2 linked regions of the Arabidopsis thaliana genome follow. The protein of the gene in region 1 interacts with the protein of each later gene in a pairwise test. Each region holds a gene or a part of one and is shown on either strand. Other genes may lie near its edges.

Region 1 (8,747 bases):
CCTCAGCCAGTTTGGAGTCGCGACTGACTTTGATGAGAATGATGTCGAGCATTGGCTACTCCCAAGAGAAGATGTCGTGGACAGTTACCTAGTAGAAAGCCCTGAAACTCACGATGTCACTGACTTCTGCAGCTTCTACACTCTCCCTTCAACCATCCTCGGTAACCCGAACTACACTACATTGAAAGCTGCGTATTCTTACTACAATGTGGCCACACAGACCTCGTTTCTTCAGCTGATGAATGATGCGCTAATTGTCTCAAAGCAAAAGGGTTTCGATGTGTTCAACGCGTTGGATGTGATGCACAATGAGAGTTTCTTGAAAGAACTGAAGTTTGGGCCAGGAGATGGACAACTTCATTACTATCTCTACAATTACCGTTTGAAAAGTGCCTTGAAGCCAGCGGAACTCGGGCTTGTTCTCTTATAAGCTCAACAACTTGATTTGATGGTATCAACAAACTTGAAATTTGTCTCTCTTTTTTTTTCTTCAGTCTGAACTACTTCTCCCATGGTTTACTGAAACTGAGTTTAATTATTTTGGCAATGCAATTTTGGATTTTGCTTTTAGTTTCACTTGTGTTCTCTGAGAGAGTTGACCCTGAGAAGTAAAGTCAACACTAGACGTGTGCGAGTTTCAATGGACTGCATTTTTAGGTCCAAGAAGTAGCTACGGCCCATCTATCGTAGAAGTTGTTTTTTGTACTAAAGCCTGTTATAGCCGAACTAGGTCGCTACGTTTCCTAACTTGTCGTTTATTAGGCTACTTTTAAATCGCACGCACCAATCCAGTTCTTACACGCGTTTTCACAAAAAGGACCTTACATGGGTTGTTCCCCCAATAAGAAAATTACACGTTGCAGAATCGAAGCAGTGGTCTATCCTTGTTATCGTCCTCTCGTCTTTATGGCTCTTCCAAGTCATTTTGAGAAATTTTCGATTTTGAGATTTTTTTCCAAATATTACAAAAGGAAATAATTAGATTCCTCTTTCTGCTTGCTATACCTTGATAGAACAATATAACAATGGTGTAAGTCTTCTCGCTGTATTCGAAATTATTTGGAGGAGGAAAATGGAGTGTGTTGGGGCTAGGAATTTCGCAGCAATGGCGGTTTCAACATTTCCGTCATGGAGTTGTCGAAGGAAATTTCCAGTGGTTAAGAGATACAGCTATAGGAATATTCGTTTCGGTTTGTGTAGTGTCAGAGCTAGCGGCGGCGGAAGTTCCGGTAGTGAGAGTTGTGTAGCGGTGAGAGAAGATTTCGCTGACGAAGAAGATTTTGTGAAAGCTGGTGGTTCTGAGATTCTATTTGTTCAAATGCAGCAGAACAAAGATATGGATGAACAGTCTAAGCTTGTTGATAAGGTCTGTTTCAATGTCCCTTGCCTTGTTTATGAAGAAAACAAACCACTATTCGTTGTGTATTTATGGATTTGATTGTGGATTTTTGTAGTTGCCTCCTATATCAATTGGTGATGGTGCTTTGGATCTAGTGGTTATTGGTTGTGGTCCTGCTGGTTTAGCCTTGGCTGCAGAATCAGCTAAGCTTGGATTAAAAGTTGGACTCATTGGTCCAGATCTTCCTTTTACTAACAATTACGGTGTTTGGGAAGATGAATTCAATGGTAAAAATCTCAATGATCCATTGTTTTAGTCACTATCTTCATGGTCTGTGTTTAACATGTTGTTTATTGTTACTGTTGAAGATCTTGGGCTGCAAAAATGTATTGAGCATGTTTGGAGAGAGACTATTGTGTATCTGGATGATGACAAGCCTATTACCATTGGCCGTGCTTATGGAAGAGTTAGTCGACGTTTGCTCCATGAGGAGCTTTTGAGGAGGTAAAGTATGGTTCCACTATGCATATCTTGAGAGGCTTTTTCTCTAGTTATTTTTGCATGACTTTGAACTGTTTTAAATACATAATTTGTTATTAATGTCTTCTAGGTGTGTCGAGTCAGGTGTCTCGTACCTTAGCTCGAAAGTTGACAGCATAACAGAAGCTTCTGATGGCCTTAGACTTGTTGCTTGTGACGACAATAACGTCATTCCCTGCAGGTAACAAGTCAGCTAGTACTATTCTGGTTTTACCACTACGAAAAGGTTCTGACTTCTAGCAAATGCAGGCTTGCCACTGTTGCTTCTGGAGCAGCTTCGGGAAAGCTCTTGCAATACGAAGTTGGTGGACCTAGAGTCTGTGTGCAAACTGCATACGGCGTGGAGGTTGAGGTATAATTTGAATATGATATTCCACAGCAATAACTATATGGAGGAATCATTGTTCATTGAGACTGTTTTTCTATTTGAAATCTTCAGGTGGAAAATAGTCCATATGATCCAGATCAAATGGTTTTCATGGATTACAGAGATTATACTAACGAGAAAGTTCGGAGCTTAGAAGCTGAGTATCCAACGTTTCTGTACGCCATGCCTATGACAAAGTCAAGACTCTTCTTCGAGGTTCTCTTTGGTGTTTCTCTCTCCTTCTAGTTAAATCGTTATTGTGATAAGTCTGTTGCTCATCAGCTGGAAATCCTTTCAGGAGACATGTTTGGCCTCAAAAGATGTCATGCCCTTTGATTTGCTAAAAACGAAGCTCATGTTAAGATTAGATACACTCGGAATTCGAATTCTAAAGACTTACGAAGAGGTAAGAATTGGTGGTCCTATATCAACATAGAAACTTCTTATTTGCTTTTTTAATTCGTTTAATATAAAACTGTAGGAGTGGTCCTATATCCCAGTTGGTGGTTCCTTGCCAAACACCGAACAAAAGAATCTCGCCTTTGGTGCTGCCGCTAGCATGGTACATCCCGCAACAGGTAGTAAGAGCAAGAAGCCTTGACCCGATGTACTTTTATTCACATCTTGAATCTGTACCATCTCTGACTTAGCTTTCCCCCAATTAAACAGGCTATTCAGTTGTGAGATCTTTGTCTGAAGCTCCAAAATATGCATCAGTCATCGCAGAGATACTAAGAGAAGAGACTACCAAACAGATCAACAGTAATATTTCAAGACAAGGTGAGCTCTATATAAACCACAAAGTTAACTATGCTGTTCTTTCACACAATGAGAAACTTTTAAAACTTGTGATTTTCTATTTTTTGGCAGCTTGGGATACTTTATGGCCACCAGAAAGGAAAAGACAGAGAGCATTCTTTCTCTTTGGTCTTGCACTCATAGTTCAATTCGATACCGAAGGCATTAGAAGCTTCTTCCGTACTTTCTTCCGCCTTCCAAAATGGTAAGCAAGACACTGATTCGTGATTCATAACAATGTTACTGTAAACAAGAAAATTGATTCTTCTTTTCACTTACTCAGGATGTGGCAAGGGTTTCTAGGATCAACATTAACATCAGGAGATCTCGTTCTCTTTGCTTTATACATGTTCGTCATTTCACCAAACAATTTGAGAAAAGGTCTCATCAATCATCTCATCTCTGATCCAACCGGAGCAACCATGATAAAAACCTATCTCAAAGTATGATTTACTTATCAACTCTTAGGTTTGTGTATATATATGTTGATTTATCTGAATAATCGATCAAAGAATGGTATGTGGGTTACTAGGAAGTTGGAAACAAACATGTATAGAATCTAAGGAGTGATCGAAATGGAGATGGAAACGAAAAGAAAAAAATCAGTCTTTGTTTTGTGGTTAGTGACCGAGAAATGTTTAAATCAACAAGAGTAAAAATGTTCAACACATGCTTTTAATTTTTATCAATTTATTTCGCTTATATTGTTTACGATTGCCATTTATTTTAAATATGATCACTTTCGTGTTCCTAAGTGCAAATTACTCAATAATCTATACACATTATTTATAAACAAGAAACTGCTAATTTTGGATTAGTGAAACTACAAGTGGTTAGTGTGCCGTCTTTAATCATTAATCTAATATTAACAAGAACAGAGAACAAGTATATGTTCGTTGCATCACATACAGAATCTAAGAACAAGCACCACATAATTATCAATTAAATTAATCAATCCAATGAAACTTCTTCTTAACCCTTTAAAAAAACAATTACTAGTCAATAAAATCACTTCTAAATTCGCTATTTGCACATTTTATTCAAAATGAATTATATATCTTTATTAATGTCAACCCCTTGAAATAATATAGAACATTCTTTCTAATATTTTTCTCACAATTATATCAATTAAAACCTTCAAAATTATCAATAAAACGACCATATCTTAAATTTCACAAAAATATAAGTCCCAACATAACAATTTTTTCGAAAAAGACTTTTCTAATAAAGTAGGCGCTTTCAATTTTCACAACAGTCAATAAATACATCACCCACTTTTTCTATCCAAGTCAACTAAAAACGCGGGTCTTCTTCTCCAAAACCCATTTCCTCACAAAATCCATCTGAGAAAAAGAGCAACAAGTTTCATTTTCATGGTGGTGATGACGAACAAATTCTTCGAATTAATCGGCGGAGCTCCGTCGTATTCTTCAGTATCCGTCGCTGTTAAAGGATCCGTCGGTGACGCCGTAGGAGGAACTGCTAGTCGTCGTGCTCTTCGTTGGACAATCGAAAATTTCCTTCCTAAAATCGATAGATTAGTTCTTGTTCATGTCATGCCTACAGTTACTACTATTCCATCTCCTTGTAAGTCTCGATTCGAATTTTTTTGTTAAATCAATTTCGAGATTCATGAAAATTTAACACTAGTTTTTGTTTGATTTAAAAGCTGGATCGAAGATTCCAATAGAGGAATTGGATGAGAGTGTTGTGTCTATGTATAAACGAGATTTGAGAAAAGAATTTGAACAAGTTTTTGTTCCGTTTAAGAGGATCTGCAAATCCAACAAAGTGAGTTTCTGTGAAAGCTAAATTTATGATACTGATTTTGGAAGTTTTGGAGAAGGCTTATGGAATAATTTTACTGGTTAAATGTTTAGGTTGAGACTTTGTTGTTGGAACATCATGATCCTGCAAAGGCTCTTTTGAAGTATATGTCAGATACTGATGTTGAGTGTTTAGTGATTGGCTCTTGCTCTTCTAATTTCCTCACAAGGTAATGTTACATAATGGGATTTGATATCTAGTATGTGTTTGTATATGGTATGATCTTGCTTAGACGTTTGGATTGGTTTTGACAGGAAAAAAGGACAAGAAATGCCATTAACGGTGCTAGGAGAAGCTCCAGAGACATGTGAGATATATGTTGTTTGTAAAGATAGAATCTTAACCAAATCGACGAATCAGTTTACCGCAGGTATGTTTCAATTGCATTGATCTAAAATCTGAAGTCAAGAAGGAAAAAAATACAAGTTTTATTGATTTCCCCTGTGGTTTTTGTTTCTGTGTGAAATTTTCAACAGATTCATCATCTAGTTTCCGTATACCAGAAGGAGCTGAAGCTTATACAGAATCTTTCAGTCGCACACGCTCTGATAAGACAGGGTTGTCTGCTTCATCTATAACATCTTCAGGCAGGATGAGAATTGGAAGGCCTGGCTCTTTACCGCATAGTCATCCGACCTCTCGAGTGTATTCTGATGCACAGTCTTCTTCAACTGATATTGTTTTGGTCGATGACGAACACTGTCGTTCTATCCTTAGGCATAGTACTGTTTCCACTAGTAAAATACAGATGGATCCTAGACCTCACTTAAAAACACCAAAGGTGAAGCATTTAATATATGACCATTTTGATTCTCTGTGACACAAAATGCATATGATTTTGATCCAAGATCTGTTTTTGCAGTCAGGTGTAAGAGCTGAGGTAGAGCAGCTAAGGAAAGAAGTGCAAACCACTCTTTCCATGTACAAACAAGCTTGTGAAGAGCTAGTTCATAAACAAACACAGGTTGGAGTTCTAGAAGAAAACTTTTTTTGTTCTCGAAATCCTTTCCTAATGTTTTTACATCTTATGGATTCATAAACTCAATCCCATGTTGTGACCTCAGGTCCAGTCTCTTTCCTCTGAGTGTATCAAAGAAACAGAAAGGGTCATCACTGCTCTGGAAAAAGAAGAAATGCGAAGGAAAGCAGCAGCAGAAGAGAAAGAAAAGCATCTAAAAGCTGTAAAAGAAGTCGAGGAAGCAAAATCAATGCTAGCCAAAGAGTTCTGCGAGAGGCAATTAGCCGAGCTAGATGCTCTCAAACAGTCCATAGAGAAACAGAAAGTCATTGAGCAACTCTTCTTGAGAGACGGGCGATACAGAAAGTACACAAAAGAAGAAATAGCTGCAGCTACAGATAATTTCTCTTCCCGTAAAATAATCGGCGAAGGAGGATATGGAAAAGTATACAAATGCAGTCTTGATCATACCCCAGTAGCTCTTAAAGTTCTCAAACCTGATTCTGTTGAAAAGAAAGAGGAATTCTTGAAAGAGGTAAATTACTAGTAGTCTCATGGCCTAATAACAACAGCAGCCTTTAACACTCTGAGATCTGAAATCAACTATTTTACTTTGCAGATCTCAGTCTTAAGCCAGCTTCGTCATCCCCATGTGGTTCTTCTCCTTGGTGCTTGTCCTGAAAATGGATGCCTTGTCTATGAGTACATGGAAAATGGTAGCTTAGATTGTCACATCTCTCCCAAAAAAGGGAAACCATCTCTCTCATGGTTTATCAGATTCCGAATCATCTATGAAACAGCTTGTGGTTTAGCTTTCCTCCACAACTCTAAGCCTGAGCCCATCGTCCACCGTGACCTCAAACCAGGCAACATTCTCTTAGACAGAAACTTTGTCAGCAAAATCGGTGACGTTGGACTCGCAAAACTCATGTCAGACGAAGCACCAGACAGTGTGACGGTTTACAGAAACTCGATTATCGCCGGTACACTCTACTACATGGACCCGGAATACCAACGAACCGGCACAATCAGACCGAAATCAGATCTTTACGCATTTGGAATCATAATTCTCCAGCTTTTAACCGCTCGACATCCCAACGGTCTTCTTTTCTGCGTTGAAGATGCAGTAAAGAGAGGCTGTTTTGAAGATATGTTAGATGGATCAGTCAAAGACTGGCCCATAGCCGAAGCGAAAGAACTAGCTCGCATTGCAATCAGGTGTTCGCAGCTCAAATGCAGAGACAGACCAGATCTTAGCACACAAGTCTTGCCTGCTCTCAAACGTATTCTTGAATCTGCAAATAGTAGACTCAAGACAGAACAAGCTAACGCACGAGCACCAACTCACTATTACTGTCCAATTCTTAAGGTAAATCGAATAACCGATGCACACCAACCACAATTCTCGATGGCTCAGGTTTTAAAATGTTTGATTCTGGTTGATTGTAGGAAATAATGGAAGATCCACAAATAGCAGCAGATGGATTCACATACGAACGAAAAGCGATAAAAGAATGGATTCAAAAACATCAAGATGTGTCTCCTGTTACTAAGCATCGGCTCAAACATTCTGATCTTACACCGAACCACACTCTCAGATCGGCTATACGAGAGTGGCGATCTCGTTCACGCTTAGACCTCTCCACTACTCTTGGCTCCTACTGATCACACTAATATATATACAGTCTAGTCTAATTCGTATATTGACTAAATACCCTGAACTTGTTTGAATCGGGTGTATCATCTCTGTGAATATGTATTGTGGTATTATATAATAAGTCAACAAGGATTTGGTTTGCTTTTTGCAGTTCTATATGAAGAGCATTTACAACTGATAATCAAGTGAAAGTTTAGAGGATTCATCTACAAATAGACTCAAATCAAACTTGGGTGAACTCAAGAGCGTTTGCGTCTGGATCACGAGTAAATATCGCTGGCCTCCCTGACTTACTCATTGTATATGCAATTCCTACAAAATCAAAAAATCTTCTTCAGAACGAAAGGAAACATCCTTTAAGCCAAAAGAAACTAAGAAGAAAGAATAAAAAAATATAAACTACCAGCTTTGTCTAAGATCTCTTTCAGATTTGAAACATCACGGATTGCAATACAAGCGTGTCGATCCCGGCCTCCGTGCTCGGGTCTACCTGTTAATGGATCTGGATTTGGAAGCTCCATAAGATGAATCATTTCTGAACCTACCCATAACCATGCTCCTCTATATGGAAGCTTGTCGTGAGGCCTTGCTTCGTTGATCTCAAGGCCTAAAATGTTCTGGTAAAACTCGAGTGACCGTTCTAGGTTCTCGCAGAGCAGACCGACATGATGAACCCCAACAACTCCATAATCTACAATAACAATCAACAATCAAAACTGGTAATCCGAGCTTAGTGTCTATAGATAAATGGTGACATTTGCTTAAAATGTTGTAACCACTAACCAGCAGACAATCAACACAATTACTTATTATCAGTTAATTACCGGTTTTGTTGTTAAGCTCTTTCTCTTGTACAACACTAATCCCTTCAATTGACGATCCTTGTGCCTTAGCCTTCAAGCTATAAAACCTAACATTGATCCTTTCTTTCCTCACACTCTTCTTCTGAAACTCAAACCGCTCTTTCGTAGAGAGATTCGTGCAAATAACCTTCCAAATACCAAAAAAGATTCATCATCAATGATCAATCCAAGGTAAAGTAATCGATTTTGAATGATACTCACAATCCTAATTTCTCCTTTTAACTCAATTACTTGAAAACTAAAGAAAAGAAGCCCTTAATTGCCAAATTTACAAGATTAGCGTCTAGGACTATCTCAAGATCATCCAAAAGGTAAGAACCCTAAACAACAATTTCTGGAAATCGAGTAACCTAACGCTAGGAGTGAATAAAGAAGCTTATTTGTTTGATACCTTTGGT
Region 2 (9,115 bases), about 16 Mb from region 1:
AGGAAGAGACAAACTCCGTTGAAGTTGTCTTGTCGTTATCAATAGGCGTGAACAAAACTGTGCTAAAGAGGCTAAAGCTATTTGCTTTGTTTTATTTATAGTATATCTTTTTGTCTTTTAGAGTAAAATATATATATATATATATATATATATATATATTTTTGTCTTTTGGAATAATAATAAGAACCATATTTTCATATGCTCCAACAACAGCAATAATTTGATTACAGGACAAAGACGCGGAGAATAAGGAATCAATAAAACAAAATTCTTTATTTATTAGAAAAACGTTAAAAATTATTGGTGAAAATGATTTAATATAACATGTACCAAACAATGATTTGGAATGTTTTATTAAACAAAATAAATAAGGTTCGTTACATTCGTAAACATCTAACAACTCCATAAAGATTTAAGTTAGTAGCAAACTTATCAGACACATTCTAGAGTGATTTCATACACTATGTATGACTGATAATTCATAGGTTTAACCAAAGTTTGAAGAAAACAAAAAGAGGAGGAAAAAATGATTATCAGTCAAATAAGTTTATATTGAGAAAAGCAAAAAAAAAAAAAAGACAGAATGAGAAGAGATGACCCCAGAAAGCACTTAAAAAAGAAGACACCCAATTTTGCTTTTTGGACCTTTTACGGCCTTTGCTTCTCATTAGGCGTGAAGCGTTACTGTCGACAACTCTGTCCCCATTCTCTCTTTATTTTTACCTACTTTCTTTCCCATTTTCACACTCAGAAATTCACAAATTACCCATCTTCTAGTTCAATATTGGGTAAATAATTCTTTTTTTTTTAAAACCTCAGATACATTTCACTTACTGTCCTAATTTCGTGGGAATGTTCAGTTTAATTGAGTTTAGAAATGCACCAAAATTCATTGGCAAATTTTTAACTCGATTGTAACTTTGAACTATTTTATTTTATTTTACCTACATAAACATATGACCCAAAATGAAAAAAAAATCATACCTGAGCCAAGATCAAATCAAAAGTAAAAACAAAAACTGAAAAACCTACAGTTGGGCCCTGTTATTTTACCTCCTATAGAAATTTGCAATATTCAATTTGTAAATTCGAGATACTATATTATTTTAAAAAATTTAGGTAGTAGATTTTCTACAAAAGACATGGCATGATTGTTGTTAGATTCGTATGCTCTAGTATTTCACTTATTTTCAACAATATATTCCCTAGACATGGAAATCCACAAAACCATATTCATCTACGCTAAATTTCAATTTAATCTCTATCCATATTTTATAAAGAAAAAAAATAAGAGATCAAATTCAGTTCTGTGTTCCTAAGAATCAAGCATTTTCCGAACATTCTCACAAAATCACGACCAAAACAAACGTGCTAAAAACAAACGAGGCAACGACGAAGCCAAACTAAACCTAACCGTACGATAAGAAAAACAGAGTCAACAAAACAATCGTAACCGTAGGATGAAGTAAGGTGCACAGTAACGTACCTGAAACGTATCCGCTTGAGATCATTACCACCGCCGGGAAGAGAAACGAAGGTTATGAGAACTCCGGGCTCAACCTGAGCAACCCATTCTTTAGGCTCTTTCTCCTCCACAAACACAATCGGGTCGACCCGGTTTCTCCCACTCGCCGATTTCGGAGTCGCTTCGCCGCTCGAAATCCCTTTTAGTCTCGCTTCCATCTCCTTTCCCCAAACCCTAGGCTGTTGTTGTTGCGTCGCCGCCACCGCCGCCGTAGCTGTAATCGAACTGTTTGATCTTCCGTAAAGCATTTTAAACCGTTGATCCGATTCGAAATCCGACTTTACCGACGACGACGACGGATTGTTCTTGATCGGACCTTGTCCTTGTCCCTGACCTTGTGCCGCCGTACACGGCGTACAATGCCGGTAAGCTCCTGATGCTTTCAGAGCCATATCTTTGAGCTGATATTGAATTGACGAAAATACCCTCAATCAGAAGAGAGAATTACGAAAATTGGAGACGGAGGAGAAGAGTGAGTTTATTTCAATTTACCTGAGATGTTAGAGATTTGGCGTTTTTAGAATCTGGATCGTCTGGTTGACCGGAGGATTCATCGCCTGCTCGCTTCGAACGAGCTATACACGTCAGCATTTTCCGGTGACTGGCTTGGTCTTTGATTTGAGATTTTTTTTCTTTCTCTTTTTGGATACGGAGAGAGAGAGACAGAGATGGTGTCAGTTTCTTCTACTTTGGTTTGGGTTCGGTGCTCTTTTTATGTTTTATTCTCTCTTTTTTTTTATAATTTCTGCTTAAGAAACTTTAAACCGGGATTACCGGTTTCCAATAAAGGTTCCGCGTCTCACTACGGTAATTACGCAATCCGGTGGTTAAAATTTCGAAAGTGAAAAAAGTAAAAAGTTTTGGTCTTGCATAAGGTAAGGTAAATCATTTTTGTTTGTTTACTGATTAGCTAAACTTGTACAGAGGTTAGACTATATACATGATTTTTGGCCTGTGGATTTAGACTTTCAGAGGTATCAAAGGTCGTTCTTCACACTCAAGTAGCCAAGTGTGCTGCAAGATTTGAAGTTAATCGATATGTATGCAAAATTTGACTCTGACTTTTGAGAAACCTAAAACGAAATAATTTATTATGTGTGGTTCTAAGCTAGATCACAATAATAAAAAGTTGTTCTTAGCATTATTCATTAAATGGGTACTGTAGTGTGTTGTTCATAACGCTTCTGATGGCAACTCATTGACATTTAATTTAAGGATAGCAATATGTTCCGTCCGACAATATTTATGTATGTGACGTCTTCGTCTACATTACATTTCAAGTGAATAATGATCCAACGACTCGAAAATATTAATAGTGTAAGTATTTTTGTTGTTGTTGTTGTTGTTGTAAATTTGGTAATGTACTAAACTGAAAATTAAAATGTTTTGGCAAAGGGTGGTGGTCCAAGACTTGTTTAGTTTACAAACAACTCTTCAGTATTTTTCTTTTTTTTCGACCAGCCACTATGGTCTTGTTATCGTTGAGTGTCAATATAACCTTTCTGAAACATTACACTAGGGTCACTAAGATAAATTGGTCTCTTCTCCACTTTTATTATTTCATATACAAATTTGTATGTACCAAGATCTTATCCACAAAATTTCGTTTTTCCCAAAACTATTATAATATTATTAAAGAGGTCAAAATGGTTTGTGCTTGTTTACAATATATTTAAGTTTTTTTTTGCTAAGTTTCTTACAACATTTCAAAATGCATGACAATGATTTTACTTAACTCATTTAAGCAAATAACTTCGCGATACAAACAAAAATCAAGTTACTATTATATAAAAATCAAGATAGAAACTGTAGAATAATCTATATAATTGTTGAGTACAAACTTTACAACTTAGCCGAACTATTGATTAGAGTTCATCGGGAAATGTCATATTTGAGTATTGTTGGTGGACTCGCAAATGAACAATTTAGACCACCAAATAGAGCTACATTTTCTTATGGTGAAGACTCAAAATCGGTTTGGGTTTAGCGCATAGATGGGCTTTAGTTTCGGCCCAGTGAAACTCTGTCTCAATCCTTCTCACCTGTAAACTTAAAAAAAGAAACGAAGAAGCTCTTTTTCTCCCCTCTGAAGAAGAAAAGCAAAATCCACGAGAGAAACAGATAGAAAGTTGCAAAAGTGCGTTCGATTTTTGCTTCTTCTTCTGTTTCGGATTCGGATTTGGATTTGGAATCTGCTCCTTTAGCAGAACCAGAGGAAATGGTGACGTACGTGAGCGCGTTGTTCTACGGATTCGGAGGGATAGTCGTCGCCGGAGTGGCGCTGCTCGTGGCTTTCCAGGAGAAGCTTGTGTACGTCCCAGTGCTTCCGGGTTTAAGCAAGTCTTATCCGATCACTCCCGCTAGGCTCAATCTCATCTACGAAGATATTTGGCTTCAATCATCCGATGGTGTACGTCTCCACGCTTGGTTCATCAAGATGTTCCCTGAATGTCGAGGTCCACACTCTCTTTGATCATTGAGTCTCCTTTCGATTCAGTTTTTTTTTCCTGGTAGATTTGATTTTACATTTTCGAATAAGCTTTTGAATCTACTGAATTTTGAGGGATTTTAGGTCTTGATGTCTCTGTCTTTAGCTAGGTTTTGGATTCCTTTTCTCAGATTTGTGATCCCTAAGTCATTTTAGCTTTAGTTTGGAACTTATCTGTCACCTAAAATCTAGTTGCTTGTGGTTGGTAGCTTTAGCCTAATTCGAAGTCTTTCTAATAGTTTATGTTTGGCATGCAGGTCCAACCATTTTATTTTTCCAGGAGAACGCTGGAAGTATCCTTTCCAGAGCCATTTCTTGGTTTTTGTTTGTTTATATTTGTATGCTCTAAGGAACCTATTTTATGTTCCATGTCTGTTAGCTGGGATACTTTGTCTTGTTACGACCTTGACCTTAGAATCCCAGACATCGCTCATCGTCTGGAGATGGTTCGCATCATGATACAAAAATTGAAGTGCAATGTATTCATGCTTTCATATCGCGGGTTAGTTTCAGTTTGCTGGTTTCTGGTCTATCTCTTATATAAATTGTTTGTTTTTGAGTCTAAACCTTGGATCTGTTTATACAATGCTTATTGATTTTCCCGTGCAACCAGCTATGGGGCAAGTGAAGGCTATCCTTCACAACAAGGTATCATAAAAGATGCTCAGGTTTGCTTGTCTCCCTAAATTTATCCACATATCTCTTCTGTTGCGTCTCCATGTATTCATTATCCATTTTCTTGCCTGATATTTTTTGTTAGGCTGCATTGGATCACCTTTCTGGAAGGACTGACATTGATACATCTAGAATAGTTGTATTTGGAAGGTCCCTTGGGGGAGCTGTTGGAGCTGTGCTTACCAAAAACAATCCAGATAAGGTACTATTAGTACATATTGCTATTGGTAGCATTTCATGAGTAGGGAAAATGTATATTTTATTAGAAGAGAGACAGTATAGGCCAAGTACCAGCCGCCAGCTCTGTGGATGTTACTGTTTAAAGGGAGAAGTATTATTGAGAGTCCCACATGGTTACGAATGAGACTAACAAATGCCTTATAAATTATAACGCCTAAGGGCACCTTCCTCTCTCCTCTAGGGGCTTGGTTTGGATGGCTTCTTATCAGTATATTAATGAGATTCTGGTTACTGTTGCAAATTATTATAACTCATGGTCTTTGGCAGATGACCTGGAGTCCAATTGTATAAAAATTTCTAGAGTACCTCTTTATTTAGATTCTAGTCACTTATCATCAGTAACAATCTACGCGGTTTGTACTATCTGAATATAATTATTTTTTGTGTTAAAGTTTTAGTCATCTGGCAATAAAAGAACCTGGTTGATAGGGGTATTCGTTTGAGCTTTGTTATAGGCCTCCTTTTATCACCCCCACTGATATTTACTATTATATGCACAAGAACCTTATCCTTCTCAGAAAATTTCTTGGTAAATGAAATTTGTAGATGCCTTGATTAAGCTATTATTTTTGTTCTTGTTGTCTCTACTTCCAGTATTTCATTTGATATCCACACGCCTTATAGTTGTATGTTTACCATTTCTCAATGTCGCTATATAGGTATCTGCATTGATTCTGGAAAATACTTTCACATCCATTCTTGATATGGCTGGCGTTTTGCTGCCGTTCTTGAAGTGGTTTATTGGAGGAAGTGGTACGAAAAGCCTGAAGCTTCTTAATTTTGTTGTACGTTCTCCCTGGAAAACAATTGATGCTATTGCTGAGGTAAGATGCAAATGTAGACTCTTGCAGATAGATGTTAGATGGATTCTTTTCGTTTACTGTTTGCATATGCCATAAAATGACTCATTTAAGCAAAAAACACTATGGTACCCCAATGACCTCACTGGCATATATATTAATATATCTCATGCATTTGCATTCCTTCATTTCCTTTTAACGGGACATAGTGTATATATCTTTGCGGAATATGTTGAATTCATGATAAGCTAACCCGAACTATAAAATTATTCATGTATGCCGCAAGCTGATTGATTGCTCCCTGATTTGTTCTATGGAGTAAAACTTGAAAGGAAACAAGAAAGGAGCTTGATGTGCTGCTAAAAACATATCCCTGTTAAAAAAATGTCTCATCGTTTGATTTTCTGTAGCAACCTGTGATAAACTGATCTTGCAACAATGACAGATCAAACAACCAGTGCTTTTCCTCTCTGGACTGCAAGATGAGATGGTCCCTCCATTTCACATGAAAATGCTGTATGCGAAAGCGGCTGCCCGTAACCCTCAGTGCACATTTGTGGAGTTTCCAAGTGGGATGCATATGGATACATGGCTGTCTGGTGGTGAAGTTTACTGGAAAACAAACTTGCAATTTCTCGAAAAGTATGCGCCTGAGAAAAGGAAAGAAGATACAGGTAAGATGATCTACCAAGTATAAGTAACAATTTTGTTTTACAGAGATGTTTCTTGGGATGTTTTTCCCAAAGTAGAATACTAGGCTTGACGTTGGTCTCTAATCTGATGACAGGAAGGTAACGATCAACGATGCTGTGTTTAGAGGAAGATTCGACTCACTTATTTCCTATTGCAACCTGAAACGACGGTATTGTTTGTTATAAGCATGTGTATACGTATGTTGCATTTGGGAGTGACAGATACAACTTGTTCAGAGAGTGAGATATTGGACAGGAACTTTTGTAAGCAGAACCAGCTAGTGGAGATGGCAAGTGTAAGCTAATCAGATGCATTTGCTTCGTCTCAGTTTTCCTTCTTTTTTTTGGGTTATTTTTTTTCCAATTGTTGTTGGTGTTTCTCATCTGATCGTAACTATTTCCTCTGGATGATCATGGCTTTGTAGATGATTGAGAAAAGTGAAAAAAGACATGGTTATATGATTATATCTTGAATGTGTTGATTACGTCTGTCATTCATAATATTTATGAAATCTGTAGAGTAGTTTTTTTCCCGACAAACTTGATTATGTTTGAAAATGAGATAACACCAAACTAAACGCACGAAGACATTATTAATGTCCATTATTTATGTATTTTTATTTTTAAATAAGTGTTGTGACTAGACCGGGTCGGTCACTGTCCACGGGGCAACTTTTTAGTCTGCATTAAGTTTTCTTACTTTATCACTTAAGAACAAAAATTCTGCTTTAGAAAAAAAAAAGAAGCAAACCTCACTGTTCTTTCATCGTTTCCGAGAGAGGAGAGACGGACATGGAAGGAGGAACTGCGCACTACAGCCCTCGAACTGTCGAAGAAGTCTTTCGAGATTTTAAGGGCCGTCGAGCTGGCATCATCCAAGCTCTCACCACTGGTCTCTTCTTTCTTCTCTTTGCTTTTTAAAGTTTGAAACTTTTCTTATGGGTTTTGAGTTTTTCGTGGGAATTCTTCTCATGACGATCGTTTGGTGGCTTTATTTAGACCCTTTTTCAACAATTGTGCTCTAGTGTTATGGATTGTGTTGATGATGCTTAGTTCTTCGAATTAAGAACAATTAATTTCTTTTTTTTGCAGATGTGGAAGATTTTTTCCAGCAATGCGACCCTGGTTAGCTTTTTTCTCTCTCTAGCCTTAAGTATGCTCTCAAGCTGTTTCAGTTATTCCTGATTTTGAATATGCAAAGTTGAGATGGTAACATAGGCTTGTCCAAATCGACACTCACACTGAAAAGTATAAGATCTTGCTCTGCTGCTTACATGTGTTTTGGTACTGGTGACTGATTATGTTGAACATTTGAGCAACTTTTATTTTAGTTCGGTGGTTTGGTCTCCCCATGAACTATATACTCTTTCGCATTTGGTGCTGTTATCTTTCTCTATATCTCGCTTTTGACTTCATGCTTTGTGCCTTGATCGACATAACCATAACCATTTAGAGGTTGCATGTCTCTATGAAATTTCTTGTGGCTCTAAAACTTGTTTTAGTTAAGAGGAATATATTAATTTTTTGTCATCAATATATTAATTTAATAAACATGATTTCGTTATTGAATATAGCTGCTTGTCTTGATTTTACGTAGCTAAATATCGTTTTCAGAGAGTATTTCGTTGCTTTCTCTGCTAATTAAGTAGCGTTGATAAACTGAAGTTTGTATGACTGTTTTATGACATTTCAGAGAAGCAGAATCTCTGCTTGTATGGATTCCCAAATGAAGTGTGGGAAGTTAACTTACCAGCTGAAGAAGTGCCTCCTGAGCTTCCCGAACCTGCACTCGGCATTAACTTTGCCAGAGATGGGATGCAGGAAAGAAACTGGCTTTCTCTCGTTGCTGTCCACAGTGATGCGTGGTTACTTTCTGTGTCTTTTTACTTTGGTTCAAGATTTGGTTTCGATAGAGCTGACAGGTATCATTCTTTCTTTCTTGGTTGCTGTGTTTTCTCTTCTAACCTGGTGTTCGTTGTTTAATATCTTCTCTGCTCAATTCTCTACCATTAATTATCATGATATCTGAAGCATTTCCATACTAACCCGTACACTTACAAATTCAGGAAGCGCTTGTTTAGTATGATAAATGAGGTTCCTACTGTATATGAAGTTGTAACTGGAAATGCAGAGAAGCAAACAAAGGAAATGCCCTCTTCAGCAAATCAAAATGGCAACAGATCCAAGTCAAATTCAAAAATGGTAAGTCTCATGCTCTCCTTTAATAAGATACAGAACATTAATTATGAACTAAGAACAAACCAAATCCTTTATTAACTATGAACTGGGAACTATGAACATTAATTACTATGCTACTCTTCCAAACCCTTTCTCAACTCAGTATCGCGATCCTATCACCTTCGGTTCTCTATATAACTCCTCCCATAGTACACTAACCGGTCTAAGTTGTTCGTTAGTTGAGCTGACAACTCAACTACAATCCTACAGAAAAAGGTCTATGATTGTTAATGGTATCCTGAAAGTTTTGCGGAAATAGCTCTTGTTTCATTCTTAGACCTTCTTTTCGATACTCAAGCTTTGTCCTTCGTCTACTCTTATCATTTTTTGTTTTGTCTTGCAGTATTTCAGAAATTAGGAATGGTTAAATGGATATTCAATAAAGCACAGCACTGGCATATGTTATTCACATTCACATCGTAAAGGATTCAACCTATTTATGACATTTTCATATACA

Evidence for each region.
Region 2: the proteins of AT5G57035 (region 1) and WAV2 interact in a protein complementation assay, tested with the Arabidopsis thaliana proteins (one large-scale study listed by BioGRID).

The regions. Positions count from the first base shown.
Region 1 is NC_003076.8:23,076,326-23,085,072, forward strand, and holds AT5G57035 (U-box domain-containing protein kinase family protein), read left to right. Parts: upstream 1-4,321; 5' UTR 4,322-4,417; coding exon 4,418-4,631; intron 4,632-4,713; coding exon 4,714-4,835; intron 4,836-4,924; coding exon 4,925-5,040; intron 5,041-5,125; coding exon 5,126-5,241; intron 5,242-5,347; coding exon 5,348-5,652; intron 5,653-5,733; coding exon 5,734-5,835; intron 5,836-5,935; coding exon 5,936-6,364; intron 6,365-6,448; coding exon 6,449-7,198; intron 7,199-7,278; coding exon 7,279-7,494; 3' UTR 7,495-7,663; downstream 7,664-8,747. Other genes in the region: NMT1 (myristoyl-CoA:protein N-myristoyltransferase), read left to right, coding at 1-430; LUT2 (Lycopene beta/epsilon cyclase protein), read left to right, coding at 1,073-1,366, 1,455-1,626, 1,708-1,843, 1,950-2,060, 2,129-2,231, 2,319-2,462, 2,545-2,652, 2,728-2,824 and 3 more; AT5G57040 (Lactoylglutathione lyase / glyoxalase I family protein), read right to left, coding at 7,710-7,798, 7,890-8,177, 8,311-8,476, 8,741-8,747.
Region 2 is NC_003076.8:6,940,944-6,950,058, reverse strand, and holds WAV2 (alpha/beta-Hydrolases superfamily protein), read left to right. Parts: upstream 1-3,544; 5' UTR 3,545-3,743; coding exon 3,744-3,981; intron 3,982-4,270; coding exon 4,271-4,306; intron 4,307-4,436; coding exon 4,437-4,515; intron 4,516-4,626; coding exon 4,627-4,681; intron 4,682-4,773; coding exon 4,774-4,890; intron 4,891-5,587; coding exon 5,588-5,752; intron 5,753-6,173; coding exon 6,174-6,402; intron 6,403-6,515; coding exon 6,516-6,523; 3' UTR 6,524-7,104; downstream 7,105-9,115. Other genes in the region: BRXL4 (BREVIS RADIX-like 4), read right to left, coding at 1,487-1,926, 2,018-2,116; AL5 (alfin-like 5), read left to right, coding at 7,213-7,312, 7,513-7,545, 8,114-8,342, 8,487-8,622. UniProt on the Arabidopsis thaliana protein: Involved in the regulation of root growth. Involved in the suppression of the root bending in response to touch stimuli, gravity and light. Negatively regulates stimulus-induced root bending through inhibition of root tip rotation.